Astyanax mexicanus: one gene and its partners. The protein of the gene in region 2 interacts with the protein of the main gene of each other region in a pairwise test. Links are inferred from orthologs where the notes say so. Each region holds a gene or a part of one and is shown on either strand. Other genes may lie near its edges.

Evidence for each region.
Region 1: the proteins of zcchc10 (region 2) and tfcp2 interact in binary tests that used the Homo sapiens proteins (3 or more experiments, as listed by UniProt). The two-hybrid records come from large-scale screens. The link is inferred for Astyanax mexicanus from reciprocal best matches to the Homo sapiens genes ZCCHC10 and TFCP2.
Region 3: the proteins of zcchc10 (region 2) and sfmbt1 interact in binary tests that used the Homo sapiens proteins (3 or more experiments, as listed by UniProt). The two-hybrid records come from large-scale screens. The link is inferred for Astyanax mexicanus from reciprocal best matches to the Homo sapiens genes ZCCHC10 and SFMBT1.

Annotation. Positions count from the first base shown.
Region 1 is NC_064420.1:6,042,874-6,054,166, forward strand, and holds the start of tfcp2 (transcription factor CP2), read right to left. Parts: upstream 4,159-11,293; 5' UTR 3,825-4,158; intron 1,863-3,824; 5' UTR 1,770-1,862; coding exon 1,648-1,769; intron 276-1,647; coding exon 124-275; intron 1-123. Other genes in the region: pou6f1 (POU domain, class 6, transcription factor 1), read right to left, coding at 8,109-8,454, 10,010-10,178, 10,951-11,086.
Region 2 is NC_064424.1:20,460,088-20,470,999, reverse strand, and holds the start of zcchc10 (zinc finger CCHC domain-containing protein 10), read left to right. Parts: upstream 1-6,598; 5' UTR 6,599-6,691; coding exon 6,692-6,732; intron 6,733-8,759; coding exon 8,760-8,921; intron 8,922-9,849; coding exon 9,850-9,894; intron 9,895-10,831; coding exon 10,832-10,912. Other genes in the region: piggyBac transposable element-derived protein 4, read left to right, coding at 1,853-1,995, 3,412-5,194.
Region 3 is NC_064431.1:25,586,288-25,597,105, forward strand, and holds the start of sfmbt1 (scm-like with four MBT domains protein 1), read right to left. Parts: upstream 4,143-10,818; 5' UTR 3,764-4,142; intron 1-3,763. UniProt on the Homo sapiens protein: Histone-binding protein, which is part of various corepressor complexes. Mediates the recruitment of corepressor complexes to target genes, followed by chromatin compaction and repression of transcription.

The DNA of each region.
Region 1 (11,293 bases), on a different chromosome or scaffold from region 2:
GCATCCCTAGTAGGCTATATCCAAACACAAATATACTTTACTTAATAAATATACTAAATTTAAAGTTTGTCTTTTTAATCTTTAATATTTATATTCATATAGAATGGAAGAGAATGAGCAGACCTTGGTTGAGGTAGGTGAGCGTTTCGTCATGTAGTTTGACAGCAGGTGATGTAGCAGCACACAGAACATACTGGAAAGGAAGGATCTTGTTTTCGCTGTCGGGAGGCAGATTAGACTCTTCTTGTTTAAAGATGGGGAGAGCCAGAACGTCACTGCAAAGAGAGAGAGAGAGAGAGAGAGAGAGAGAGAGAAAGAGAGAACCCGTAGAGAGGAAAACAAAATTAAGATCTGTAAATACATTACACTTTCCCATATTCAGAATCATACAGCCTTTTATAAAGAAGAAACTATGTTCACACAGCAGGTATAAACGTGGTTTAAATCTGATTTTATCACCAAATCTGATGTTTTTTTTGTTATGTCTGTTCACAAAATCTTTTTAATGGTGTGAACAGTCTGTACATGAAGTTTCGGTTTCATCCCTTCAGAATCTAAAGAGCTGTGAATGAGCTGAGGCAACAGCTGAGCTTATCACCCAAAATTGCTGTTCACACTGCCACAAAAAACACATGTGCATTACACACAACGTAAAACATCAGATATGGGGCACTTTTATCTGCTGTGTGAACTTAACCTTAATGAGACATTACTGATAAAAGATGATAATTTCAATAACACTGCTTACATTCCCTTAACTATTAATAATCAAATTGTGTTATTAAAATCCTCATATTTTGCTTTTTTTTATATTTCTTATATCACAATTTACAATAACTACTGGAGAAAAAGCCAAAACACTTCTCAGTAGAAACATTATCACTTAACATAAATAAATAATGAAATTATAAAGCATAAGCAAACAATTATTTAACTGTCTAAAAAATATTATGGTTTTACTGTATAACAGTATATATTCCTTTTTGTTATTATTATTATTATTATTATTATTATTATTATTATTATTATTAGATATTGACCCTTGAAATGAAAACAGGATATTTTAGTCGAATACAAACTTATGTCGTTCTTTTAAAACAGTTTATGTAAAATGTTTCTAATCTTAAAATAAATAAATAGAAATTTCAACAGGAAGTAAAGCTCTTTTTTTACTACTTTATTTCAAGCTAATTGTTATTTTTTAATTATGGATAACAGATTGATTGTCTGGTTTTTAAATTCTTTGTAAAATATGGTTGCATTTAAATATCAGTATTTAGTAAAGGTACATCATATTAGTGAATATGATAACCATCTATTTTCATACTACATACTGCAGCATACCCAACAATGAAACACCACAGATACTGTATGACTATCTGCATTTACTGATGTGTAAACACAACAAGAAAGATTTTTTTTTATTATTTAAACTTGTCAATCCATTTGTTACCAAACTACAGGTAATTAATTATACACAAAATTTTGAACTCTTATCCAGCACTCACTAAAATAACTGTTATAACTTGTCTCTGATTACTATGTAATTAAAATAAAATCAAAAGAGCTAAATAGCCACTCACACAGCTTTAAAATCAGTTGTATATATAAATAACCCCTCATATATAATCAGCACTAATGCAGTACCTCATACTGTAGGCTCCAGCTCCCAGCTCCTGCCCAATACCGGACAGACTGGCGTCGAAGTCCTGCACCAGCCCGGACTCGATCACCTCGTCAGCGAGGGGTAACTTCAAAGCCCACGCCATCGTCAAGCTTTCAGCTCTACCTCACGTCCGACTGACCACAGCCAACCGCACTGACCTCGATTACCTGCGACTGATTGGGCAGCTCACACACACCTGCGCGGGAGGAGGAGTTACAACAGGTTAAATACTACTGTCAGTCTCTAAACTAACTTTTTTTTTACAACCATCCCAAAGCTTTCTGTTAGTCGTCCCTAAACTGGAAAAAAAAATTGCCATTACTGTTGTATTTATTTATTTATGTGTTTTTCTACTAGCAATATATTTCTTAAAATATTTAACAATATTTTTTTTTTTTTTATATTGCCAGGCCCTAGTAAATAAATAGTTCATTTTTTATGTGAGCCATTTCAGCCTAAAATGACACCAAATGACACTAACTCACTGACGTTTTACTTGTAAAAACAAAAATAATCTAACTACAGACCTCTGTACTGCAGTTTTACATGTAAAAAACTCTTTTCAGATATCAATCATGAAATATTTACCAATTCTATATCAATTCTGAATAGTCCTATGTTAATATTGATTTACATCATTGCATTACTCTCTCTAATCTAGAATTACATTTAACTAGTTAAAACTTACTCTCCAGATTCCAGATTATTTAGTACTAATATAAACAGTGAATCCAGATATTTACACTACAATTTAACAAGATACAATATTTATCATATTTTTACACACAGAGAAAATGCATTAGTAGCGTCAGATAAAAAAAAAGCGAATTAAATAGTGTGATTTTATTCTAAATGTGCTAAACTTTATCCAAATAAACAGTGTGTGCGTTTGTTTGTCTACCCTGATAAAAAAAAAATAAAGTAGTACTACAAGTACTACAATGCTGTATCTGTACTCCACTAAAGTATTAACCTATGTAACACAGTGGTGTACTTTTACTTTCAGTGCTTGAATTGTACATTTCAGTATAAACTACCTGCACTAATTAAGTACAAAAATCTTGAGTACTTTAGTATGTCTACTTAAGTGCTGTACTTAAGGAACACTTCAACTTCTACTTTGTTTTGCATGTTACGTTGTATTTTAATCATCTGTTGTTGCATTTTGATTACTTTTTTATTTTATTACCTTCGTTGTTGTTTTTTTTACCTATGATTTATGATCCCTTTTTTACAAATTTATTTGATCTTCTGTGTTTTCTATCTTAATATATATATATTAATATATATATATATATATATATATATATATATATATATATATATATATAATATCTTGTTAAAATGCTGGGTCTTTTGTTCTCTTTGACAATCCCTACATACTATGTACTTCATTATACATGAGGGCAATACTATGGGTATGAGTATAAATGAGTTTAAATAAAGGTTGATTAGTTGATTGATCAGTCTTATTTAGGTTACAATTTTCACCTTATTTTAAATCATTTAAACTCATAATTAGCACAAAAGTTACTGGACAAGTAATTGTTATTAGTGTGTTCACTTGTACATATAATTGAGGCCTTATGTTTGGTTAAAGACAAAATAACCTACAAAAAAAACTAATGTTTTTGCTATACTCTTAAATATTCTGGTTTTAAACCAAAAAACAGTGATTTAATGTTTTGTTCACTTATTTTAAAATCTTACTAAGAAAAAGTTGCTTAAAATAAGCATATATGTTTTAATTTAAATAACAGCTAAGTTATATTTTCCCTATTTTTTCCAGTGTAGTGTTAACCTAACCTAGTTAGATAACTGCTGCTGTTATTTCCGTGGTGTTAAGACTCGCTGTAAAGTTAGTTAAACCCGAGTTTATGATCATTACACCGGTAACAGCAGCTACACAGAGCTGAGGACCTGGAGGATACAGAATATATGAATATAAAAAATCACATTAAATTAAATCCTTTAATTTAAACTCAAACTCAAACCAGCCAGCCTGCTCCTCTTAAACTTCAGCTCCTGCTCTAACATGGTCTCTGTGCTGCAGCTGAAGGAGTGATGGTGTTTATTTCTGTATATTAATGATAATAAACCCCTGTATTCTCCTGTACTCAGCCCGCTGTAAACCCCCGGCTCTGTGTCAGTCACTCACCCCGGGTTAGGAGCGGGTGTCGGGGCTGGAGCGGCGGCTGTTTCTCTCCATGGTTTTAATCCGTTTTTCGGCGGACTCTCTCTCTCTCAGCTCGTCTCTCTCCGGACAACACTCACCAAACTGTCAGATCGAGCTTTTAATACCGAAATAAGCCTCTAAACTCCCCCAATACCCGCGGAATAATATCTACTCCTCATAAATCACCCGAAACAGAGGGAAATAAGAGCGCAGCAGACCTTTAAGACAGAAAACTCCTGTTTGTTTATTTGCTCGATTCTCTAGATTTTAGGTATTGCTGTAATATCCGCAGCTCTCTTCCTCAGCGCGGGAGAGCAGCGCTGCAGCACTGCCCCCTGCAGCCCCGGAGCTTAAAGCAGCGCAGCGATAACAGGAGAAATTCTAAATTACAAGCACTGAGTACTGTGTATTATTTATAAGGGAGGAAACGTTATTTCCTCTCATATAATATAAGATATTATATCAAAATAACTCTCTATTTTTTCAACCTAACTGGCCTATTTAATATTTTAATTGTAGTATTTATTAATACTGTCTACATCTGAGCCAATCAGCTTTTAGTATAAGAATTATTCTATATCTCTCTGCAAGACACTCCAAAATATTACCATAATTAATTTAGAGATTAAAATAAAAAGAAATCAATTCATTCTCCATTTTATTTTTATAAAATATTATCTCTGGATTAAAAGAGCTATGATCTAATATTCAGTTTCTTCATGAGCATTAAGTTACAGAAAAGCAAGCCTTATTATTCTCCGGCCTGATTTAATTAACTCGTTCCTACGCATTAGTATCTCATTCCCATGCCTTAATTATCTAATTCCCAAGCATTTGTATCTCGTTCCCACACCTTACACATTTTTTTTTACATGATGTCACCTGAAAAAAATAAGAGATCACTTAATGATGATGTTTTTTCCTCGATTTCACCAAATTTAAAACCTCTTGAATATAATCAAGAGGAAGATGGATGATCACAAGCCATCAAACCACCAAACTGAACTGCTTGATTTTTTTGCACCAGGAGTGAGTAGCATAAAGTTATCCAAAAGCAGTGTATAAGACTGGTGGAGGAGAACATGCCAAGATACATGAAAACTATGATTAAAAACCAGGGTTATTCAACCAAATATTGATTTCTGAACTCTTAAATTCTTATGAATATGAACTTGTTTTCTATAATGCACATTTGAGGTCTAAAAGCTCTGCATCTTTTTTGTTATTTCAGCCATTTCTCATTTTCTGCAAATACATGTATAGATATAATATAATATATATATATATATATATATATATATATATATATATATATATATATATATATATATATAAAACCTTTTAGTAATCCTGATTTAAAACCATTTGGTCTGATTTAAGATCAGACAGTGAGAAAAAACTATATATCTATTTTTATATAGTGTATGTAAACTTCTGATTTCAAATGTATTTACATTTTGACATCACTGTCCCCTTACAGATAGATATATTTTTGAATGTATGATGTTTTTGAATGAAATGCACAGTATTTGTGACATTACAGAACAAGAACTATTGCAACTGTGTCTGATTTAAATGAGTTTATTGAGAGAAGTATTAAAAGTTACACAAAAGATGTATCCACTATGTCCATATAATTTACTTGGATTTCTCAGGTATGTCAGGCTTGTTATTCAAAAGACACTAAACAAATATTAATAATAATATTATTAAAAATTAGAATAATAATATACGTTTCTAAAACATAGCGTAAATGAAATATAATTAAATTGGACTGTAGTTATGTACAATGCAATGAAGCTGAAATCTTGATCAGTTCAACTTCAAATGGAGAAGCTTCTTCCAAAGAGTAAAAAAGACACAGAAATGAGCCCATTATGAATATCAGAAATTCATAACGGCATAGTTTTAAGACGAAACACAAACAAAACAAGAACACGCAACTTTACAAACTCCAAGCAGTTGCTTTTTGTCCTATGACCTTTACACCTTGTCGTGTCACCACACACAGGACTCTGTGGATATTTGTGGATAGTTAAATACATGCTGAATATTTACTGCACACACAAACATGTTAAGGCTTTGAGAAATAAACAGAAAAAAAATCAATGTTCTGAATCCCTTACGAAACGATTACACCTTTTATTAACAGTAACATAATAAAGTGTTGGTTTAAAGCCTCTGGGAAGCTATATGTGAGATTTGTTCAGGGTCCCAAGTGTAAATATACAAAGTATTTCTTATTAATATCTCATATTAAAAATGTTATGTATTTCACCACTATCACTCTCCTCTGGGTGTGATATGGGCGGGGCTAAAAGTGGGTCCATGGGAACCATGACCAATTCTAACCAAAGTTAACATAGCTCCGCCCTCTCTCTTCGAGTCTGAGCAACCAGAACTGGCAAGTTGGTGAGCTGTCGCTTACCAACCATCTTAGTGCATTGTGTGCATTGAGAGCTTAAATTGAACTTAAATAAACCTTCGTTCGCCAGTGATAGACAGCTGTCAGTCACGCACACTCATTAGAAAATTATGACTACGCCCACCCAGTTCTCAGAGAGGTGTAAAAAGTGCATTTTGATGATATATGAGGAGTGTTTTATCATATTCCTGCTTTGCATTTTCTATTTAAAATTTGCTAAATGTTTCACATAACCCCCAAGTTGAGGGTTACACAAAAAGTTAAATATATACACCTTATATATATATTACATAAAGTCTTCCCAGAGGCTTTTTTAACCCAGAAACAACATTAATCAAACTGTTCTTCAGCTAGCAACTTCACTTAAAGAAAGTTTATCCATATTCCCATTTTACATTACAGTATGTATGTCTTTATATGAGGCTGACTTTCACATTATAAAGATCATTTATGTAACGCAGACCTACCTAAGCTATTATTTTGGCAAGATTGTAGTTATAAAGTAACAGTAATCCATAGAAATTTAACTTCACATTTATCTCACTGCAGTTTTAACGATTTGTAAGATTTAGTAAATTCTCTATTTAAAACAATAGACCTATAGTGTGCACTGCCATATTAACCATATACATCTATCCAGCCCAATCAGAATACAGTGGATTCTGCCACTTCAGTAAAGGGCATACTCTGATAATCTGATCCACACAATACCATGATTGTCCAATATCACACACTGCTCACACACACCGCAGAAAGACAGACAGACGGACAATGACCATACAGGAGGATTGCAGGAGCTACCATAGAGCTGGAAAACAAAAATGTACAAAATACACTCATATGTTACATCACCAACAGTCTTTAACATCTGGAAGTGTAGACCTGATGTCAATCTCAGTCCTCGGCTGTAAATGATATTGCACAAGCAGATTATGATTATGAATAGTAGAAAACTGTAAATTTATATCAGAGATTGTGCTGTACTACTACTGATGTTGGTTAAATTTTTAATAGAACCATAACTAGGGGGCTTGTATATGGTGATGATTTATAAAAGTATTATTTACAGTATTATTGTAATGTTAAGGTATTTAAAAAGATGACCACAGTAACATAAATTTACAATTTACAGTTTACAGGCCTGTCACAATAATTACATACATTATAGACTTATTGTACAAATCATTTTTGCTGCCCTCAGTATTACTCAATGTGTTTACTTTATTGTGTCGTTTTATTCAGTCAAAAATGTTTATTAAGTAAATCAGCTCAGCTGCTACACTGACTTTGTTTTTTTATATTTATTTCATTTTTTTTTATTTATATTATATATTTCAATTCCAATGAATATTCCTAGTAATTAAAAGTCCATTGCTCCTAAAAAGCAAATGCAGTGTAAATGCATGAATTATTATGCTACAGCACTGCCAATATATTAGTGGCATAAAATGTCTTAAATCATTTCTACAACAATATATCTTCCAAAAACAACTTATCATGACAGGCCTATTTACATATTGAATTAAATCAAATTGCTCAATTTCTCACTGAAGCTTCATCAGTGGTCAATGTTTTAAATGAGAGTACCTCATGCAGAGTAATAAAAAAAAAAAATACAGAAAATTAGAGGAGCATATTTTGTACTACTCCGTCCATAGATCGACCATTCATGCATTTAAATCCATCATCAAGTCCATCAAACAGGAGCACTACCTTAGACACTCAAAACACACACACAAAAAGCACCATCTTTTTAAAGTTACAGTACAAAAGAACAGTTTAGGTCCGTTATTCCGTATTTTCAGTCTCGTATTGCACGCTAAACAGTTCAGAGTCTTCCCTTACTGCACCTGAAACACGTTGATCTTACTGGTGTTCTTCAGAGTCTGTCTGCGGTTACAGAACCACACTCTCACCACCTCCCGGTCGTAATTAAGCTCCTTGGCGATTTCGGTGATCTCCTGGCCGGTAGGAAGGGCGTTTTTCTCAAAGTAGGTGTTCAGAACCTCGATGGCCTGCGGGGTGAAGCTGGTGCGGCGCTTGCGTTTCTTGGATGGCTCCCCGCCGACAAACTCCATCAGGTTCTGCTGCCCCTTCTGATTCCAGAGCTCGGCCTCGGCCAGCCAACGCTCCAAAACAGGCTTCAGCTTCTGAGCACTCTTCGGCGTGATGTCAAGCTTTTCAAACCTGAGGGGTAAAAGAGGATTAAAAAACAACACCTGAGAAAAAGCAAAGTCTTTATAGGCAATTCAGTTCACTCTGCAGCCACTGGGCAGTTATACACAGTTTCACACAGCCGGTTTACTCACTTCTTAGCAATTGACTGCTGAACCCTAAAGGGGTCTGTGAATGAGTCCTAAATGAATGGGGTAAATGGAGCTAAACAGCTAAAAACAATCTAAAAGCTAATCTGTTTTTCTCTAAATGTGAGTCCATTTTTCTACAGTAAATTGGTTTTGGCCAATACAGACTGAACCCATTCATTTGGGACTGTGGAGGAACAAATCCTAAAGAGATTCTCAAGTGGTACTGTATTTTTTGCATTATAAGGCAAACCAGGTACACCATCAATAAACAACTATTTTCTAATCTTTTAATATACATAAGGTGTACTGGATTATAAAGCACATTTTAAGAGACACTATAAGAAACTAATTCAGCAGGTCTCGCCACTGGGTGGTGATGGGGGTTAGCTAACTAAGTTAAGTTAAGTAAAGTTAAGCTAAGTAAACAAAGCTGTAATTAAAAAGACTTTATTTTAAAGTCAAACGAGCGCTGGGAGTTAATCCACATAGTATTCTCCTCTCTATTAAGATTCTCCGGTTATATCTACTCTTACAAGACCAGCTTCCTCTCTGTTTAAATAGGTGAGATTTAAACATATTTAAGATCAATTATAAGATCTGACCCCTTGATTAGTTTAGAACATTTGGTTCTATAAAGCACAAAAAAAAATCATTTTCAGGTTGTTCTGGCTGCTGCGCTTGCTGCGCTTGATCCAGGTGTGGGTGGGGCTCTCTCATTAAACCCTGACTCTTCCCCCTCTCACAGCATAAGCAGCTAGCAGACTGGCTCTTTTTGTTGAAGGGCAGGCCTTTTAGCCTTAAGCGTTACAAAAACTCCCAGTCATAATTCAACCATTGCCGAGCAGCCAGCACACATTCGGAGGAACGCGCATCGTCTCGTTTACGATACATCAGCTCACAGATGCCTTGTGCTGAGGACATCACCCTTTGGAGTGATGTGGGGAGAGAGTGCCATCTACTCACACAGAGAGAGCAACTAATTGTGTTATCTTAGGGCTCTGGCAGCTGATTCTAATTTAATGGGATAGCGTAAAAACTATGTAGCACAAAGTGGCACCTAAAGAAAACTAAACAATGCTTTGTGGCAGTGTGAAAGTTCATTTTAATTGTAAAACCTAGATATCTAACTTTACATTGGCTAGTTTAATCTACCTTTATCCTATTTCCTCTCTCAGACTTCATCCTGCATTCTTTACTCCAACTTGTAAAAATAATTTATTAGGATTTCATGATGTTTCATGTTGGGCTACCACTGTATCATATTTGTATAACATTTAACAGCAACACAAAAATACTTTTAGGTTAATTAATTTATAGGGAGAAAAAGCAGCAAAATTAAACACTTCATTTTGTTAGGTTTCAGTTTTAGCCAATACTGTATATTTTGGTTAATTCCTAGACAGTATTAAGAGAGAGGCAGTAAAGGAGGCACTGACCTGCAGATTGCAGACTGGCTGTAAGCAGGTCCTTCAGTGGCTGTGAGAGCCTGGCCGACCTGTGTTTGGGTCAGTCCCAGCGAGAGCCGTCGGATCTTAAAGTTCTTGGCGAACTCTCTGATCTCCTCCAGGTTAATGCCCTCTTCTTCACTCACTCCAGACTGTGGCTCTGTGTGCAAATCAAATAAAAAAACACTTAAAAGCCAATTCCTAAACAGAGATTACGACACTTTTCCACTAAAAGGAAAATATAGTCTCTGACCCTGTCCAGGAACTGACCCTTAACCCCTTATAATCTCCAGGGACCTAACTAAAGGTACACGATATATGAAATAGTATATGTCCAAATGTTTGAGGACATATGTGGCTTAAATGCTGACAAGTATTTGAATCAGCATTTTGTATTCTTGAATAAAATATACCTGGCTTTTAATAAACATAATTAATTGTGTAATTATTTTTTTTTTTATTTTAACAATGCTGTATTTGTGTTTTTAACTTATGAGGTAATGAAATTTGCTTTAGAAATAAATACATTTAAAAATAACTTCAGATCCATGAATTTAAATCTATGAGATGTTCCAGTAATTTGAGAATTTTTGACAATCAAATACATTTGAATGGATGTATCTAAATGTTTTAATCTGTTATTTTGAAATTTTTTTTTTTTCAAAAGCAAATTCTCTCACCTCACAATGCCAAACTACGAAAAGCATTGTTAAAATTCAAATTCTGTATTACATAATTACATTTATTTCAAGCTTATTAAATGTAATGCAAAAGCTCAAATAATAATAATAATATTAATAATAGCTGCTCTGTGGTGGTTTTCTCTCTTGTGGGGTCCTGAACATTAAATAACAGGGTGAAAGTACGATAATAAAGTATACAGAGTATGCAGTAAATGTTGCATTCTGAAAAAGTGAATATAATTAACTTACTGCTAACAAGCTGGCCCACGGTAGGCATCTCTGCACAGGCAATAGGCACAGCTGAGGAGATGGAGGAGACTATTTTACCGGCTGAGGGCTGTGGGGTGATCACCAGCGGAGACTGGGCTACAGTCACAACAGGACCCTGCGGAGAGATTCACAATTACAACATGAGAAAGTAAATATTTTATATATGCATGTTTGAGACTCAGGGCATTTTCACACTTCACCCAATAAATGAGTCTGCTGTTTTTTTGTAATTAATTTTATTGAATATAAACCCTGGAGCAGTGAGGAGGTCTAAACGTTACTAGTCAAAAGTTTCGACACACCTTCTCGTTTAATGTTTTTA
Region 2 (10,912 bases):
AAGATGAAGAAAAGTAAATCCAAATTTAATCCACCAATCCACCCCTCCCCATCCTGACCCCCCCCCCCCCCCCCCCCACACACACACAAACACAGAACTAGTGCCAAATTTAAAAATAATTACTGCAAATGGAAAAAAAAAACTTTTTCATCCAACCGTTTTTTAAAATTGTATGGTGATGAAATGTAAAATGCTAATTCCAAAGGCAGAAGGTTGAGGACATTATGTTGATTCAGCGTTTCAACGTTGAATGTTTAAATTCTGAATGGTCCGTTCCCTTTGACTGGCATCCACATCGTTTGATTGTAGGTAATTATATTTACACCGTGTGCCAAAACAGACAATTCACGAATGCGCGCATCGCAGGGGCGTAGCAGCAATTTCTGGACCCTGTACACTCTCAATGTGAGTGGGCCCCTATCCATACCAGTACATTAGGAACGTGAGCGAAACAAATCTGGATTTTCATGGGCCCCTCTCCCCACTCGGGTCCTGGGTAGCCAGGTTCACTTTCCCCCCCACTACCACACCCATGCGCGCGTGTACGCCTATTTGCGTTTTTTTGCGCAGCTCCTCCATTTACGTAGGGACCTTATGCACGCTCTCATTGGTCTATAGGGTTTCTATATGTTGCAGGCGGAGGATATAGGCGAATCAGGGAGTATACCATGAAGTAATCTGATCTACACGCCATGTGGATAGGGAAAGGAGTCTTTCACAGGGAAAACTAATGTAAAGGGAAAAAATGCAATTAAGGACAAAAGCTTTGGGTCTATAGTGTCCTTGCTGAGGCGTGATGTGACGTTCTGGGTCACGTATAAACCAATAGGGTGTATGAATGGTATGTTTATACTTCTCATTGAAACACAATCAGTTTCACTCTTATTAGAAGTAAAGGATTAGAAGTAAAAAGTAATCTGAAAATCAATTAGCATAGAGTATTTTTTTTTCTGGCTCACCAGCTGGTCTTGAGCAAAAAGTTTTGGAGTGTGCATTATGGTATACATTGGAACCTCTGGCATACACCATCTGTACACTACGTTTTATGATACACTGTGGGTGTTTGATAGGGAGCCGTATAGGGAATAAAATATACGGTTAAGATTTCGTACATCACTAGAAAATAGCTGACATATCATATAGTGTATTATTTCTGTAAAAGGGAGCGATTCTGAACTCAGATCATTCTATAATTATGTCGGTTTTATCCCACAAACGAATTTCCCACCAGACAGCAGCATGTAAACATCCTATGATGTGGGATCCTCAAGTCAGGCACATCGAAATATTTGACGAAATATCCAACGCCCATGAGCGTGTAAATAATGGACAAATATTAAACATTAATGTGCTTTCTGTAAATTCATTTCAATAGTAATTCTCTTTTTAGACATCTGCATACTATGTATTATTAGCAATAATAGAAACTAAAAATAAAAAAGATACCCCTACATACTATATATTATTAAGCATTAAATAAATTAAAAATAAAACAATATGTTAAACAATATAAGTTTTTTCTTTTAAACCTCCCCCTATATACTATATATTATTGGGCATAAAATAAATTAAAAATAAAAAATTTACAAAAATACGATTTTTGATCTTTCCCTACATACTTTATATAATTGTTCATAAAAAAAATAAAAAAAATACTATACTATATAATATTATATAATATTGGGCATAAAAGAAAAAAATTCCAAACCCAGACAAATCACATTAAGGACGAAGAAACGTACCGCCCGCTTTAGGTCAGTCCATATTATTTTCAGTGTGTGTTTTGGGGGAAGTGGGTTTTGGTGGGGGGATGGGGGGTAGGTTTTGGTGTGACTGAATTCCAGCAGGAGCAATGGCGGCTGCAAGACCGCTTTTAAACTTTTCAGAGGTTTTAGAGGAGCTGTTCCGTAGTGATTCTGAGGTGGATCTGGAGAATAACTCTTCAGAGCAAGACTCTTTTGATTCAGATCAGGAGCGTTCAGATGCGTTTCACCTGTGAGTACAAATTCATTCATTCATTCATTCATTCATTCATTCATTCATTCATTTATTCATTCAGTAGCAGATAAATAACTGGTAAATTAGCTAGTGTTAGTTAACCTAGTAATTAATAAATATTTTGTAAAACAAAGTAAAAAAAAATAAAATTATATTAAGTTTTTTTTATTATACACTCATAAAACCATTGAATTGCTATGTTTTACACCAGATATCTACTGTATATTGAATTCTCCTAAGATTGATACACAATGCTATTTCTGGATTCCACATTTTATAGAGACCCCCTTAACAGGCCAGTATTTTGGTAATCAGGCAGTAATTTTCTGCCTGATATATCAAACCAACTTTACCAAGTTCTAAATCATGCATTACATCGTTTTACATTTTATTGATAATCTTAATTATAAGACAATAACTAAAACTGTCAGAAAATAATGAATAAAATCAGTATTTGTGATCTGAATTATTATTATTAGTTGGTGGAGTAGAGATTGAACGTGTTATCAAAGTGTCCTGTAGGAGTCTCCAAAGGCCTCAAAGATTTTAGAATGTAAATAACCAGAAAAAAAGGGTTTTGTATCACCTACACTACACTACATATTTAGCATGTTATATGTAAAAGCTTTATAATGTTGCTCATGTTTTAATGAGCCCTTTTATTAAATGATCAGCATGTGAAATCTTTTTATATTAACAGATGTAAATTTAACACACCATATATACAGTAGCAGTCAAGCGTTCCATATTTTTTCTCCCAAATTGTAAATGAAATCTGAAGTCATGCAGACTATGAAGGAACAAATAAGGAATCATGTAGTAAAATTAAAAGTGTTAACCCACTCAAACTTCCTTAGTGAAGCTTAGGTGGCTCTTATCTGGGGTGCTGTTAACTTGCAGTTTCTGAGGCTGGTATCTTTTGCTTTTCCTTTCCTGGGGTGGTCCTAATAAGGGCCAGTTTCATCATAATGTTTTTGATGGTCTTTGCAACTGCTTTGTTCTTTTCAGATTAACTGACCTTTTTTAAGTTTATTTTTCTTTACTTAGTTGAGTAGTTCTTGTCATAATATTGAAAACACTGATGCTCTCAAGCACATTAAGAGGGTAATGGAAGTTCAGCACTGCTGTTAACTGAAAGTCATTCCAGGTGAGTACTTTTATAAAGCTGACTAAGAAAATCCAGCCAAGATGTGCAGAGCTGTCATCAAAGCAAAGGGTGCCTACATTAAAGAATCTAAAATATAAAATATATTTTGGTTCGTTACTAAATGTTTTTCTTTATAGTTTGGAAGAATTTTAAATAATGAAAAAACACTAAATTTAAAGTGTGTTCAAACTTTTGACTGGTACTGTATATTATGGTCCAAATGTTTAAGATTAAATAATCTAATGTTATTTATTTATATATTTTAGGGAAGAAAGTGCTCCATCATCTGACTCCACACCCTCTACACCCTCTACCCCTTCCACCATTAGACGTAAACCCCCCACTAATATTCAACAGCCAAATGTGCTCTCTTCATTGTGTTCAAGTCCTTCCAAAAGACAGAGGAGATGCCTTGTGTATGAACAAGATCGGTGGCGCAGTAGAGATGAAGAAGATGTCACTCCAATTCTACACCCCTTTTCACCTGCCAGAACTCCTGGAGTACAGCTTGATAGCCACCAACAGTACACACCCCTCCAGCTGTTCCAGTTATTCATGAGTAGCTCAACAATCATAACCCTCTGCCAAAACACGAACAAATATGCAGCACAAAGACAGGAAAAAGGAATAAAGACACCATGGCATCCTGTGACTGACATGGAAATGTACCAGTTTTTAAGTGTGGTCATTTACTGTGGCCTTGTAAAACCATCCACGGTACGAGACCTGTGGAGAAAGGACAGACTCCACACCTTTCCATTCCCTGCTTCTGTAATTGCTGGTTACAGATATGAAGCAATCTTTTGGAATCTGCACATGAGTGACATCGAAGAGGATGTAAAGAATGACGGGCTAAAAGGCACCATCAAACACGATCGCCTTGGTCGTTTGAGGCCTCTCATGGATGACATTCAGATTGCATGCAAAGCTTATTACCAGCCTGATCAAAATCTGTCCATTGATGAGCGTATGGTAGCAACAAAGTCCCGTATTGGATTCAAACAATACATGAGGGACAAACCCATAAAGTGGGGTTTTAAGCTCTTTGTCCTAGCTGATTCTAAAAACGGCTACACCTGCGGCTTCAACATATATCAAGGCAAGTCTCCGTCACCTTCTGGAAAGGGCCTGGGCTATGATGCTGTGATGGACCTTTTGTCAGCTGCCTCTGTTGGTACAGGCTACCATATATATGTGGACAACTTTTACACCAGTTCCACTCTCTTCTGTGAACTACACAACATGAGGTTTGAGGCATGTGGCACCATCAGGGAGAGCTGCGTTGGCTACCCTAAACACAAAGAAAATGCTCTCCCAAAGAAAGCCAGCAGAGGGGACATCAGGTGGATCAGAGAAGGCCCACTACTCTATGTTAAGTGGATGGACACTCGTGAGGTCACAGTTTGCTCAACTATCCACAAAGCATATTGTGGATCAACAGTCCAGCGTCGAGTGAAAAGCAGAGATGGGACCTGGTCCTTGCAATCGGTCCCTGTCCCAGAACCAGTGAGGGCATACAACAGGTACATGGGGGGAGTCGATCTTTCTGATGCTCTCATCAAATACTTCAGCGTCACCCAAAAGACAATGAAGTGGTACAAGAAACTGTTTCTTCATTTTGTTGACATTGCTGTGGTGAACAGCTACGTCATTCATCGAGAGCTAAGTCTGGCCAAGCAACAAAAACCCCTCACCCAGAAGAAATTCAGAGAAGCCCTGTGCCTGCAGCTTGCGGACCTAGGGAGTGAAAGGGCCACAGAACCAGCAGCCTCTGAGCCAAAAATCAAGGAGGAGCCAATTGTACAGCCACTAGTGGAGGAGGCAAAGAAGAGGGGATGCTATCCTGTCCCAATAGTGGATCCCTCATTGGCAACTAAAAGAGAAAAATCATCAGTGGGACGGAGAAACTGTGCACTTTGTCTTCAAAAGAAGAAATACATGAAGACCATCTACAAGTGCAGGTCCTGTGATGTCCCTCTTTGTTTAATTGTAGACCGGCTTTGTTTTACTGAATGGCATGACATGAAAGATGTCAAAGTTGAACAGTGATCTGTCTGGGAGGATATGTAGGAAAAGGCTTTTTTTTTTATCTTGTTCTGATTTCGCACCTCATTTTAATAAAGACAAAACAAGAAGAGTACATTTCTGTGTATTTTTATTTTTGAAAGTGTGGAAGGTATCTTTCCCTACATTTCCCTATACGTAAATTATTTAATATGAAACATCTACCTAGTGCTCTCTCTTTTGATAAAACATGTATGTCTAAACCAAAACTTAGTATGAAAAGCACATCCTTCAGCACTCTCAAAATTCTACCAATAAAATAAGGAGCTACATTGAGCTACATTGAGCTATGCCCCTATCACTAGCATTATAAGCCTGTTGGGAGCCTCGGCTAAAATCGCTGTATTTTGGAATGCTGGGGGCAAACAAAGTGGGTTATTCAACAAATGCTTGTACTGGTTATCATGTTTCACCGAAAAATTTCACATTTCACACCTTTTATATGTGGTCCTAAATCGAATACGTAAAAGCTAATCTATATTTGTGAATGTAAACCGTCAAGATAGCTGAATGCGATCTGAGCAAAAAATCAGATTTGAGCAATGTGCCGAATGCGATCTGAGCAAAAAAATCAGATTTAAACAATGTGGCTTGTAATGTGAACGTACGAAAGTAACAGACAGCCAAACAAACAGAGCAGACAGCCATCAGGGTTGGCATTGTTACATTGGCCTCCAGATAAAACCAATGCACCGGGTAAAACATGTTTTAAATCAACCAATATGCAGAGAAAACCACACAAAAACAAAACAGCTGATGCATATCAACAGTATCACCGGATTTATTCCAACCTCATTTAATAAAATACTTTATCCTCCATATCACCAATTACAAAATAATTGTATTTAAAATTATTTTGTTTATCTGCATTTGTGTATTAAATGTGTGTTTTGTGTATTGTATGTTAGGGCACAAGAAAAAAGTAATTACAGTAATTGTAGAGTGAATATAAGTCTAGTGTTTTCTTAAAACTACAGGAAAGCTTATTATTAAGTACAGAGACACAGTTTAATCTCATGAATAATATGTTTATGAGCAGAAAATAAGCCTCGATCTCCACTGATTAAGGTAAATCTTAGTAGTTAATATAAATTATTTGTGTAAATGGCTAAAATGGGTAACAATGGATGTGCACATGAGTATAGTGGCTTGTCTTCATAAAAATGCAATAAACTTGCAAGCAATGAAGAAAGTGAATACTCATACATAATAACTAACACAAACACTGCTTTTTAAAATTTCCATCAGCAGGACTCGTAGTTTTGTCCTCCCGTCAAAGCACAGCGTTTCCTCCAGTCAATTTTAGACACAGCTCGACATTTGGTAAAAACTAATGAGGGAGTGGGGAGCCATTTCGCTCACAGCCTATGATTTAATAGGTTTGATTAAATTAGACCTGCGCGGTCTGCAGTTCTCCTCCTGTCCAGCGGGCGGCTCTCATTGAAATCGCACAGAGAGAATTCAGACAGACCAGGAGCTAGCATGGCGACGCCTATGCACAGATTAATTGCCCGCAGACAAGCGTAAGTTTTTCTTATATGAAACCCGCGTGGCTGTTTGAGTTAGTCTTTATTACATTTATCGAGCCACTAACCTGTAGTTTCACTAGAGACTGGACTCGCGTGGACCTCGACACATACGCAAACGTACAGTGAGGTCCAGATCCAGCGCGCTGTGTGTGTGTGTGTGTGTTTGTGTTTAAACACAGACCTTGCTGACCACACTTTAAACATTTAACCACGCAGCCTAACTAATAACTATAGCGGGAAGGTCAACGAGCTTAAACCACTGATATATTGCATTAATAACTCTTTTATTATTATTTTTAGAACGGCTCACACAAACCTTTAGCTATATACACACACAGAGCTAGTGAGAATTACTCTCGACCAAAACAGCCTGGTACCAGTGCACCTAGCTAACCAAACCTAACCTAGCTTAGCTTAGCTAACTTACGTTAACTAAAGATACTTCAAATCTGAGTTAAACGTTTTTGGTTCTATCTAAAAGACTCCATACTGGATACTATGGATAACTCATTCAACCATTTTGGCCATTTTGGCTTCCAAACTTCCAAACAATTCTTTATTTATATGTAATCCTAGCTAGTTAATAATGTGTATAAGTTAAATGTCTACTCAGGATACATATGGATACGTAGCATTCATATCTGTTAATGTACAGATATTTCCATGTATCAGCTCCCCCAGCGTTTAATTACTTTTAGTGCTTTTTTAAAATTTTACTATTCTTTACTCTATTTTTGTTTAATACTTGTAGGTAAAGAGCTTGTGTACTTGTTAGCTTACTATAACTACGTCATACGTGTTGCTTTGTACTACCAAGTTAAATTCATTGTATGTGTAGGTTAACATACTTGGCGAAAAAAAAGATATTCTGATTCTGAAAATCACACCAGCTATACAAGATCTGCAGATCTATAAACACGTTCTGACCAGTCTTATCACCAGGAAACAGATATTATAAATGTAATTTGCACTGTTCATACGTTACCATGGATTTACTTGAATTTACAGTCTCCCTCTCTATTTACACGGTAATATTACAGTCCAGTTTTCATTTTTCAAGTGATACAAGTCCTAAGTAAACTCATAATTACTGATATCTGTAATGTAGGTTAATTTATACCGGTGGACATAGCTCCAAAAGAGGTCACCTATGGGATTAATACTGGTAATAGTATCATATGTTAAGACATTCTGGTAGTATTGCTTATAAGAATTTCTAGTTAAGAAATAATCAAAATAAGAGTTACAACTTGTACAACTGGTGTCATTTTAGACTGAAAAGCGTTTCGGAAAATAGAGCATGAGATTCAGTCTTTATTAGTGGTAGTGTTGGACGATATGGCTAAAATGTATTTTACAATATGTCTTGATATTGGTAGATACAATATAATTTCTATGTTTATTTGAACAGTATAAAAGCCAACTCCTTATTTACATATGAAAAGAAGTGGCCGATATTGCAAAATATTATATCACAGAATTTATTGTAATTTGATTCACAGACGAGCACCAAGAGTGCCGGACAAAAAAAAAAAAAAAAAACATTCAACTGCTCTTACATGCATAGCACTGTGATTTTTATAGCATTTCTGCTGCACAGGATTTTATTTAACAGGATTTTTTACACTCTCTCATCGAAATGTACAGTTGGTTCAGTGTTCTTTCAGCAGTGATGATGGCATTTTGTAGATAAGATAAGAAAATTAATTAAGATGGAATAAAATATTGATTATACCATCCAGCTGTAAGAAGTGGTTACATATAACAATTGAAAATTACATGCCAATATATTTAGTCAGATTGAGGAAAGATCTTATAGTTCTTAGCTAGTGCTGATTTTCCAATATCTGGCATATTCTGGCATTGTACGCATTATACAAAGTGTTAACATTTGACATTATCATATTATTTTCTGTTCATTTAATGGTAATTTGTTGTCATTTTTCATTAATTGACTTTTTTTATCCTTATACTTTAACAACATGTTAATCTTTCTCCATATTCCTTTCTTCTGGCTGCAGGGAGGCAAATAAACAGCATGTTCGCTGTCAGAAGTGCCTGGAGTATGGACACTGGTCTTACGAATGCACTGGGAAAAGAAAGTATCTGTATAGACCATCAAGGACATCAGAGATGAAGAAGAAACTGAAAGAAATGGAAAATAAAGACCCCAGTGTTGCAGGGTATGTACTGCAGTCACGACAGGGACATCTTAGGGGTAACATCTTAAAAGCATCTTAAATTTTCTTTTTAGTGTAGTGCTTACTTAACCATATGTGGTTTACTGTGGAAAAATATACAGCTCTGGAAAAAATAAAAGATCACTTACAATGGGAGTTTCTTTGATTTTACCAAATTGAAATATAATCAAGAGGAAGATGGATGATCACAAGCCATCAGACCAAGCTAAACTGCTTGAAATTTTGCACCAGGAGTGGCAAAGTTAAAAAGCACTGTGTAACACTGGTGGTGGAGTACATGCCAAGATGCATGAAAACTGTGATTAAAAACCAGCGTTCAACCAAATATTGATTTCTGAACTCTTAAAACTTGTTTTCTTTGCATTATTTGAGGTCTGAAAGCTTTGCATTTGTTTTGTTATTTTAGACATTTATCATTTTCTGTAAATAAATGCTCTAAATGACTATTTTTATTTGGAATTTGTGAGAAATGTTGTCCGTAGTTTATAGAATAAAACAACAATGTTCATTTTACTTAAACTTATACCTATAAATAGCAAAAGCAGAAAAACTGATTCCGAAACTGAAGTGGTCTCTTATTTTTTTCCAGAGATGTATATATCTTTGTGTGGGAGTCTCAGTCCAGTTTAGTAGCAGTAACTAGGCCTAACTAGGTCACAAGAATTGTTATTGACATATTGAATAATATATAGACACAACCCTATTTTTTGTGTGTACTTTATTACAAGAACCAATATGCCTCTATTAGACCAGCTTATGTAATTTACACACTGTCTATTTACCTCGGCTATTTTTTGGCACTTAAATGAAATGTGTTAATTTCGATATTAAATAATTGGATCCCATGCACACTTTAAAATGTCATAAAGTGCTTAATCTCTAACCCCTGGTTTCTGTCCATTTGCCTTAGACATGGACCAGTAGCAGTAAGTGAAAAGAAGACAAAGAAAAAAAGGTACAGTGCTATATACAGAGTCTGCTCTGTATAAAAGATTGTGAAGTTATCATACTTAATTGTATCAGCCATATACTTTTATAAGCATATCGAGGCTCATCAGTGCTTGTTTGCTATGCATGAAAGACAATATTTTTACTGCTTCACTTAACTCTGTCAGAGCGCGATGACGTACACTAAGGAAGGTGGCTGTAGTGTTCATATCAATATCAGAATTGTATAGTATAAACCGAACAAAAATATTTATTGTGGTAAAAAAAATTGGCCATATAGTCCAGCCCTAGGTTCAAGTTAATAAAGTTATCTTAGGCCCAAATTAGTTTTTTGGCATGTCTAGATTGTATCTCATTTCATTTTTGATAGTCAAAAAACACAGATTTTTGCTAATTAAAACCAGAACATATTTGGAGGTAGTTTTAAATGAGATTCAAATTAGATTTGTGCAGATGTGTCTCTGTGGTGTCATCATAGGTCTTTTAAAATATTGGGAATTTAGCTTGACAGTAAGCAGTGCCTTCAGGTTTAAAACTTGAGGCTAAATTCAGGATCTTCTGTTTAAAGATTTAAGAGAGAGGAAGTGGGGAGGCGACTGGAGATCTGCAGCCAGATTCTTTTTATTCTTGATGCTTTAAATTTAGTTTTGTCATTAGTAAAGTACTTTATATTTTATTCTTTTTAAAGGCATTGCAAATTATTGTGTTTGCTATGCCCAGTGCTTTTTCTAATGCAGTTTTATTTGTTTCTACTTTTTGCACTTTGTTAAACTGCTAGACCAAGTTTATTAACCTGTCTAGATGCATCAATAAAAAAAAAACATTTATATTAAGAAAGGGGCGTACTGACCTAGCGTCAGCTCTTTCTGACCCAGCACTGTTTCATCGAAATACACATGAGCCGATATATTAAAGCAGCCTGTGTGTTTGTGCTGTGATTTCAGGTCCAAGTCCTCTAGCGGTTCCAGCAGCGGAAGTAGCGACTCTGACAGCTCCTCTAGTGACTCTTCATCAGATAGCAGTGA
Region 3 (10,818 bases), on a different chromosome or scaffold from region 2:
ATTTAGTAAAATATATACATAAGATGGAGTTGTATACAACTACATTGAGAATGTTCTTGATCTGTATGGAGTTTCTGCAGGGAATTCTCAGCACATTCCACAGCACTAACTGCCGCCCCATCACCAAACTCTACAACGGACGGCAGGAAAGCCAACTACTTGCCACAATTGATGCAGGTTGTCAACATATACGCAGTCGTTAGAGATCTGCGGTCAGGGTGATGGAGGGGGTGGTAGCTCATCCTGTGAATTCTAACCCTGGTGTTATCACTGACCACACACCAAACGACTCAGTGACTGACGCAACAGCGGCTGCGATGTACAAGGCTGCTGATGTCAGAGAATCCGACCTTACTGATAGGATGGCTCAGCGTTGTTTTCTGAGGCTTTATCTTTATGTTGTGAAATTTGGCTCCTCTAAACTATAAATTATACATTTTTATAAATGCTCTGTGGAATGAGAGAGATGAGTTACATAGAGTAGCATTTACAAACAAGTTTAATTATTAAAGCATTAGGTCTTAAAAGTCTTTAGAGCTTCAACGGGTCTCCACTCAGTACACTCAGTATATTAGAGGTGGGACAAAATATCGATCTTCTGATATATTGTATAGATATGTTTGCGATACATTATCGATACGTGGCGTCAAATGATCGATTATCGATCATTTATCGATACAATGCGGTAAATGAATAGAAATGCTCCAACATTACTTATGAAAACTCCTTTAAAACTTTTTACATTAACTTCCATTCACAGTTTAAGGCAGTTTAAGGCCTTCCCGTGTAAAGTCACCATTTTGGAGATACTTGTTTTTCATTGGACAGCGATTCACATTTGGTATTCAAATGCGTCTTCAGTTAGTAAGACTGTAATCTGATCGCTGTGTGCAATAAAATTGGATGCAAATCTGTTCGTTATGCAGCAATTATTACTGGTGTGTTTGTAGTCGTGTAGAGGTTTTGATTAGGGTTGCCAAGTATTAATAAAAAGGGAAAAGGCCATAAACCACTGAGCTTTATTTGTATGTCTACTGGGATTTTAACATATTTTAAATATTTTTTAACTTTATTTTTGTAGATGCCTTCGTAGAAATACATTTATGATATTTAATTTATGAAATAGTTAAAAATGTTCCAAATTAAAAATCTTACATAAAAGAAAATGGAGATACAAGGAATTTGTACAATAGTGAGAACCTGTAGTTTCTTTGATTTTACCAAATTGAAAACCTCTGGAATATAATCAAGAGGAAGATGGATCATCACAAGTCATCAAACCAAACTGAACTGCTTGTTTTTTTGCACCAGGAGTGAGTAGCATAAAGTTATCCAAAAGCAGTGTGTAAGACTGGTGGAGGAGAACATGATGCCAAGATGCATGAAAATTGTGATTAAAAAACAGGGTTATTCCACCAAATATTGATTTCTGAACTCTTAAAACTTTATGAATATGAACTTGTTTTATTTGCATCTTTTTTGTTATTTCAGCCATTTCTCATTTTCTGCAAGTTCATTTTACTCAAAAACTGAAGTGGTCTCTTAATATTTTCCAGAGCTGTATATATACATTTTTGTTTTATTGCACATTTTTTGAACATTATCTTTAATTATCTTTTAGTATTTCATACCATATGTTTGGAAAATAGCATACAATTTGATTTGATCAAAGTTGCCAAACTCTAACCCTATTTTAACAGGTACATATATCAGGTATATATCTGCCACAAGACCACCGAACAGCATAAAAGGATAGAAAACAAACAAGATATACATATTTAAGAGGAGAGCAGGTGAGTAAGGAAGATAGATGGGTGGTAGAGATAGCTCAGTGTCTCTTTAAGCTGTGTTGTGTTTCCAGCCTGAGATGATGACATCTGGGGAAGATATGAGCACCCTGAGATAAACGCTTAGCTAACACCCAGAGACCAAGGTGCAATTCCTGTAAGGAGCAACCCAACCAAGCAGTCAGATTTTACTCATTACACATGGTAATGTCTCCATTACATCATTATATAGTTCTGATGCATCATTACATTCAATAATATAAGTGATTTAAGTATTTCACAACCCATGAAATTACCCCTCATAAAGTTTCTATGTGAGGTCGTATTTGTATTGTTTCTGCTCACCAAAAACATTGTGTCTCAATTGTTTTTATTTTTCCCTTTTTTTAATATTATTGCTCTTACACAGATTCTTAAAAAAGCAGGTTTATATAAGAATAAAAAGACCTTCCTTATTTCAATGGTAGTTAATATAAAAAATATTTGAATCCAGGTAATTCAGGAAAAAGTCTGCATTCTTCTATTGGTCCATTAATCATTAATTTCCAAGCAGATTCATATTATGTATAAAAAATAAAAATAAAAATAAACGCAATGCTTTTTTTCACTTCTTTTCACTCTAAATAATAGCAACATTTTGAGTAGGAAATTTTAATTTAATTTTTTTGTGTATTTTGTAATATTTCTATTGCTCAATTCATCATGAAATTCTGATACAATCTAAAATAATCCAAAAACTTAATGCTGTCAATTTTTGACTAAAGTTCAATCTGACAGTTGTCCCTTACACAGCATAATGAATGGAGTAGTACAAAATACTTGATATAAAATGTTTTAATTTTTTTTTCCTCCTTTAGTTTTTTTATGACAAAACTTGTTTTGTTTACTTGATATAAAAACAAAAAAATAACAAATAAGTTCTTATTTGTCATGACATGACATTTCTACTTTACTCCAATATTGACTACACTGAATTGCATTACTTAAATTATCAGATGTTGGACACAGTTGGCTGGTGGTGAAATCTGGTAAAAGTCTCTTTTCATTCAAAGTATTTAATATTTTTAATGCTAGACATTAAAGCTATACAGGAATACTGTTGAGACTCTTGCTTTTCAGTAACACAGATGCTGTGAAATAGTTCAGAAATCGATATTTAGTGGAATAACCCTGGCTTTTAATCAGTTTTCATGTATTTTGATATGTTCTCCTCCACCAGTCTTGCACACTGCTTTTGGATAACTTTATTCCACTCACTCCTGGTGCAAAAAACCAAGCAGTTCAGCTTGGTTTGCTCTTGATTATATATTTCAGAGGTTTTTAATTTGGTAAAATCTAAGAAAACTCATCATTTTTAAGTGGTTTCTTATTTTTTTTTTTCTGGTGTGAAGGTGAAGCAGAGCGCAGAGCTCAGAGAGAGAGAGGAGCGGGGGAACTGCAGGCATCAGGCGGCTGGCTCTTATGCAACCGGCCGAGCTTTTCTCTCCGGCTCTCAGCAAAAACAACCGACACCACAACGCGGCCAGGAGCGAGTCCTGCTGCTGTTTACAGTGTTTTAATGTAAAGAAAAGCAAGAAAACTGGAGAAATGAGCGGCTGAGTGCAGAGTGAGCTGAGAGCTAGCGCTGCTGGGTAATAATACTGTATAACACTGGAAGCAGCAGCAGCAGCGTTTTCAGACATTTAGCACAACTTTCATTCCCCGGGATCGCTGATTCGCCTGCGCTTGTTATTAATATATACATATATATAATAAAGAGAGTGGTTTATTATATCTATTATATATCTGCTGCTTTCTCTTCGCCGCTGAGAGCTAGTAGCGGTGGACGGGCTGTCTGCACACATGCTAAAAACGCCCGTAACCAAGTCAAGTTACTGAAACGTCACCCAGCTTAAGCGGTGGAGCTCAAGTCAAGGGGATATTTTCGTATTTTTTAGAGACGGGAAAAACGGCGAGGACGCCGCGGATTCGCTTACCGACAGTCCGGTTCGGTGCTTCGGGCTCTCCGACGTGCAAATATAAAGTCTGGAAGCGTTTCTCGCCGCTGAGGAGTTTTTTTCCAAGTCGGTTTCAGATGCCGTGTCTTTTTTTTCCGCCTTCAGTCGTTCACGACCTCATTCCAATATGGCACAAAGTCCCACCGCGCATGCGCCGCCGCCGCCTCACCTCACCTCCCCATCCACGTTGTTGTGCTCGGGCTCTTTTTTTTTTAAGCGAATAAAGCGAGATAATAACGCGGCTCTCGCGCTGATAACTCCCTACGAACACGCGCTCTACAGGAAAGCTCGGGTTTACTGCACGAGCCGGCCCGTTTCCGCTTTAATAAGCTACAAACAGTGACCAATAGAGGGGCGCAACATTGCAGTGCGTACGCCGCCGCCTGCTCTCCGCCCGCTAAAGCTGCTGCCGCTGCTGCTGCTGCCATTAGCTCGGTTCAGCTGCTCAGTTAGTTACTTGAAGCGCAGTTAAGTTATAGTGTTAAAGTCTGACAATATAACTTAACTGCGCTTCAAGTTGCTGCTGCTGGAGGAGCAGCTGACACTGCTGAGGACTCTGAGGATTTGAGGGGGAAGGGGACAGTGTCTCTGTCTAAAACAACACAAAAGTGTGTACATTAGTATACTATTGTAGTTATAGTATGTACAATAAGTATTATGTGCAGCCATTCACTCAGCTGCTTCTATTTACAATGATAATAATACTAATACACCATATACATATATACATACAGCTCTGGAAAAAAAAATAAGAGACCACTTAAAAAAAATATGATGAGTTTCTTTCAATTTTACCAAACCTCTGGAATATAATCAAGGAAAAGATGGATGTTCACAAGCCCTCAAACCAAGCTGTACTGCTTGAGAATTTTAGCACCAAGAGTGAGTGGCATAAAGTTATCCAAAAGCAGTGTGTAAGACTGGTGGAGGAGAACATGCCAAGATGCATGCCATGAAAACTGTGATTAAAAACCAGGGTTATTCCACCAAATATTTATTTATGAACTTTCTGAAAGCTCTGCATCTTTTTTGTTATTTCATTTCTCATTTTTTGCAAATAAAATCCATAATTGACAATGTTGAAAATGTTGTCAGTGGTTTATAGAATAAAACAACAATGCTTATTTTACTCAAACATATACCTATAAAATGTGAAACTCATATTATGTAGGTTTATTACACACAGAGTGGTGATTAATGATTATGGCTTACAACCAATGAAAAACCAAAACCCAGTGTCTCAGAAAATTAGAATATTATATAAGACCAATTGGTACTTTTGGCCTGCAGAAAAATGAAATCCCCATCTCCATAAAAGTTCACAAACCATCACTGATTGTGGAAACTTCACACTAGACCTAAAGCAGCTTGGACTGTGTGTCTCTCCATTCTTCCTCCAGACTCTGCTCCCTTGATTTACAAAGGAAATGCAAAATTCACTGATGATCAGTGATGGTTTGGAGAGACATGTCTGTCATCTGCTGGTGTTGATCCACTGTGTTTTATTACCAAGTCCAAAGTCAGTGCTGTGTTTTCCTGGAAAATCTTACAGCACTTCATGCTTCCCTCTGCTGACTACTTTTATGGACAGGTGAAGCGCAATAATAAAGTCATTGGTAAGATGATAAAATAACAGACTGCTAAATAAAAGGGAGTTCTAAAGCTTTTGAGCCGTATACATACTATATAGCTCTATTCCACACCTTCAAACCAGAAAGACTCTAATTAGCTTTTTGAGGTGATCATTCCCAGCTGGCACACAACTGACCTTCAATGTTGAAATGTGGTTGAAATATGACTAAAGTAATGTCTGTTGTTGATTCAATGTTGAAACAATGTTGAATCAACATTTAATGTTCAATGGTTGTGCTAACGTTGAAATTTTAACGTTGAATCAACATAATGTCCCTTACCTTATCTTTTGAATTAACATTTTACATTTCACCACCATATAATTTCTAAAAATGGTTGGATGGAGAAATGAAAAAGTGTTATACTTCTATTTGCAGTAACTGCTTTTTAATTTAACTTTCTTTATATTCAGATTTACTGCAGTGATGTAAGTTTATTGTTAACACTTTGTTAACCAGAGGATTTTCTAATTTTAGTGAGCTATGGTTTATTAAAGGTTGAACGTATGACGTTGAAACATTGTTGCTATATCAACGTTGATTCAACGTTGATCAACGTTGTTTTAACGTTTATTCAACGTTGTTTTAACGTTTATTCAACGTTGAAATGTCAGCTGGGTTAACACAATAGTTCACATACATTTTTCCGTTAGCACTATGATGTTTTTATGGTTGTTTTCAATGAAGACATGAATGAACATGATTTTTTTGGATGTTATTACTTTAGGCAAATTATATTTGTCAATACCCTTGACATGGATGAAGATCAGATCACATATTATGACAGAAAACCACAAAATTTCAAAGGGCTCACATGCTTCTTTTGCCTCTGCATACCATATATGCATAATTAAATAAATAAATAAATCTATCCATCCATAAAATAGGCCATGTTAGCAAATCATTAGAACATTAAAGACACAACGTATATTGTTAAAATGTTAGCAGGGCTAAGCATTGTGATTTCAAGCAGATTTCCAGCCCTTTATTTTATCATGCTGTGTCATGGACATTGGTTCCTCTGGTAGCTGTAGATTTAACTGCTCTACAGCACAGTGTGAGCACAGTCTGACTGACTGTATGCCCTGGCTTTACAGGTCAATCAAAGAAGAGCAAAAATAACCCCTAATCCTGCAGCTTCACATCCTCGACACATGGTGGCGGTAGAGTCAACAGTTTCCACCTGTCACCGCCAGCACTCTGAATGCGTTGTTTAATATAATGTACGTACAGTTTACAGTAGTCTATGCGTTTACAGTTCATTTTCCTTTGAATATTCTGTTTATACACAGCTCTGGAAAAATAAAAAGAGGCCCCTTCAGTTTCTGAATCTGTTTCTCTGATTTTGCTATTTATAGGATTCAAGGAGATTTTATTGTCATTCGCATCACATGTGGTACATGAGGTAGAACCAAATTGTGATCTCACGATCCAGTTTGCACCCAAGAGCAATAGTTAAAATAGATAAATATAGATAAAATAAAATAAAATAAAAATAAGAACACAATAAAATAGAATAGAACAAAATAGACATCAAGATAAATACACAAAAATATATATATACAGGTTTATGTTTGAGTAAAATAAACATTGTTGTTTTATTCTATAAACTAAGGACAACATATCTCCCAAATTCAAAATAAAAATATTGTTATTTAGAGCATTTATTTGCAGAAAAAAAAGAAATGGCTGATAAAAAAAGGCAAAGCTTTCAGACCTCAAATAATGCAAAGAAAACAAGTGCATATTCATAAAGTTTTAAGAGTTTAGTAATCAATTTGTGATGAAATAACCCTGGTTTTTAATCACAGGTTTCATGCATCTTGGCATGTTCTCCTCCACCAGTCTTACCCACTGCTTTTGGACAGGGGCGTAGCAAATTCTGGGGTCCTGACGGTCCACTTTCCCCCACTACCCTGCCCATGTGGAGTGCTACAGACAAGCAGCTCTCAAGCCCAGAAGGTTAAAGAACAAACTTGCAGAACAGTAGATCTCAAAGCAAGATAAAAGGAGACAAAATAAACACACAGCCCAAGTGGGTTCGAAAACGGGTGGAAAACAAAAACGGATGCGAAACGAAAACGGTCGGAAAATGAAAACGGGCGGAAAACGAAAACGGGTGTAAAACGAAAACGGCTGAAAAATGAAAACGGGTGTAAATCGAAAACGGGCGGAAAACGAAAACGTGTGGAAAATGAAGAAAACCGGTGGAAAGCTCACGGGTGGAAACAGAGAGCACGCAAAAATCATAAAAAAATAAATAAAAAAATAAAAAAAAGCATGGGCCCCTCTCCGTACTCGGGCCCTGGGTAGTTAGGTGGGAAAACCCCCACTACCATGCCCATGCTTTTTTATGCTACTCACTTCTGGTGCAAAAATTCAAGCAGTTCAGCTTGCTTTGATGGTTGTTATCATCCATCTTCCTCTTGATTATTATATTCCAGAGGATTTTAATTTGGAAAAATCAAAGAAACTCATAATTTCAAAGAGGTCTCATTTTTTTCAGAGCTGTATTTGTGCACCTCAATTTTACTTTGATTTAACATTGATTTAACGCTATGATTTTATGTATATGTATGGTTAGTTTTAATCTTCACTTACAAATTAATATGTGTATCTTGTTTGTATTCCATTATTATATACTGTACTGTGCTCCGGCTGTGCAGAAATTGACATTTAAATAAGAATTATTTATCATAAATATTTTATAATATTAGAATTATTATTTGTGGGGAGCAGCTAAAAGTTAGCTAAAAGCAGCTGGAGTTGTCCGGTAAGCCAGGGCGATATTAGCTAATGGTTTCTCCCACGTAGCTTGTTTTAATACGGTAAATGAGCAGGCTACACTCTGATATACTCACCCCTGAACTGCGAAAGAGCTAGCGCTTAGCATGGTTAGCAGATAATGCTAATGTTGCTCCAACAGTGCTAGCCGTGATTAGCAGCAGGCTACAGTCTGATAATACTCACCTCTGAACAGCAAAAGAACTAGCGCTTATAGTGGCTTTACTGCTTCTTACAACCTGACTGGTAAAATTCGGGAAAATGCCAAAAACACGGTAAATGACCACTAAACTCAAACTTTCTGAGATAAAGATGCATTTTATTGAATTGTGAAGTATAATAACAGTAAAAAAAAGGAACATCCTCAGCATCCCAATAATAATAACAATATCTTGGAACAATATACATACATTTGTTTTATATACATAATCATAACTCTTTTAAAAAATACCTACACATTCATTAACATTACAGATACTTTATCTCAAGAATTAATTTCTGCCGACATTAAACCTCCACCCACTATATACTATTTATAGGAGAACCTAGTACCATAACTTCACGCTCACCTAGGAACATGTTACCTCACACTAGCATTAGCATGTTTCAGTCTTGCTGTGGAAATTGTAGTTTAAGCCCAAGGAATATTGAAATATAAAAGAAATACTAATGCCTTCTACAGCCTAATCCGAAGTGATTGGTCACTGCCTTATATTGTACATGTATTTAGGAACTCGCAAAATGGTACAGATACAACAAACAGAGATCATGTTAAAAAACACTGATGAAGCTGAAGTATCTCCTTTATCTCCTGCCTAAAATGGGCCTAAAGTCTAGCTTTCTATCAAGGTTAGGCATACAAACACCATTCCTTTATCATTTAATCATTAATGGGCCTAAAATCAAAATAACAAAGGCAACAGTAACTTAAAAGGCAGAAAACAGGATGCAGTAGGCTAATTTAGGCAGTATTGGGTTAGCAAAATGTATCATTATCATCTATCATCACACTCTTAGATATAAACGTGCTTTTAAAATGCTTATAAATCTTATGAAAGATTCCTTGCAAAAAGTTCTTAACCTTTGGAACTTGCAGCGCACTTAAACCACCACCCAAAACCAATCCCCACGGCCCACACACAAAATATGATCATACATTTCATTTTCATTGAATTGAACCAAGGATCTTTGGTTTCAAAAAGACTCTTTTTTTTTTTTAAATCATTCATCCAGGATGGGCACAACTTCTATTTTGTCAATAAAAAAAAAGAAGAAATATTTCAATCAGATCTGTATTAATATTAACAATATTAACACCCGAAACAATCAATGAATTGAACCATAGAATTCACTGATAACTTTATCAGTCATTTGTCTTTATACTAATACTATGCCAGAACAATAAACAAGATATACCTAAATATAAGCTTTGATTTCTATGTAAAAATAATTTACATAAGAATGTAAATGTAATAATCTCATATTACATTTGTTGAATTTTTTTCATGCATTGAAAGGATTTTTATTTTGCAACAGACAAATAGAACAACATTTTTCTTGTTGTTCTCGATTAGCAAAGCTAGTTACGCTAATATAATATCTAGTTAATATTTAATAGTAGTGCAAGTTTGAGTGAAAGTTTAAAATTAAATAAAAATAAATTATACAAAATTCTGAGATCAATCAATCTTTCATTCAGTGAATCAATCAGTCAATTTAATAGTCTAAACTGATTGTTGTTGTTATTGTGTGTATTTGTATATATTTTAAATAGTGAGCTGCGTATTGTTTTGTGGTGTTTTGGTGTGGTGAGCTTCCATGATGGAGACTGGGGTTTAATTCCAGGTCTGAGTAACTATGCTGTGATATACCAATAAGAGTCCTCTCTCGTAAGTCACTCTTGTTAAGAGCATCAGCTAAATGCTGTAAATGTAAATGCAAATGTGTTAAACGGGCCAGAATCATTTGATATAAAGCTTCTGTACCAATATAAAGTAGTATAAAGCTGTGAACACATGGTTCTTTTCTAAAATCAAAAGGGTTCTTTTATGGCATCCCTCAAGGAACCATCTGAAGCCCCTTTAAGTTCCTCTATTTGAGTGCACAGCATGCACTGACCGCCAAAGTGCGGTCCTTTTCCCAAATGTATGAATGTGAGTATTTATGTGGCTCAACAAGTCAATTTCCACAGTAAGAATAACATGTGCATCAGCATGTCTGTCCTATAATACAACAAATACAGTACATCGTATAAAGTTCATTGATTGCAAGTTTTGATCATGATGAAAAAGAAAAATACATTTATAGATCTTTTATCTACGGTTAGTACTCAGTCTGGTCATTAGGGGGCGCACTGTCTGCAGGCATTTGTTAGGACCCAGCACACACACTCACTACCAGTTGCTTTCAGTATTGGGCTTAAACTGTAGCCCAGAGGAGCCCAGATCAGTGCCATTAGGGTGTCGTAGTGTTTTTCGGAGCCGAAACATCTGTAGACGTTACAGCCCCGCCCCATCGGACCGGCTCAGCTAGCAGAGCAGTGGTACTCAGATCCAGGCCTACGGGGGGTGGGGGGTGGGGGGGCACCACAGCGGAGTACCTGTGGGGTTGACCCTGTAG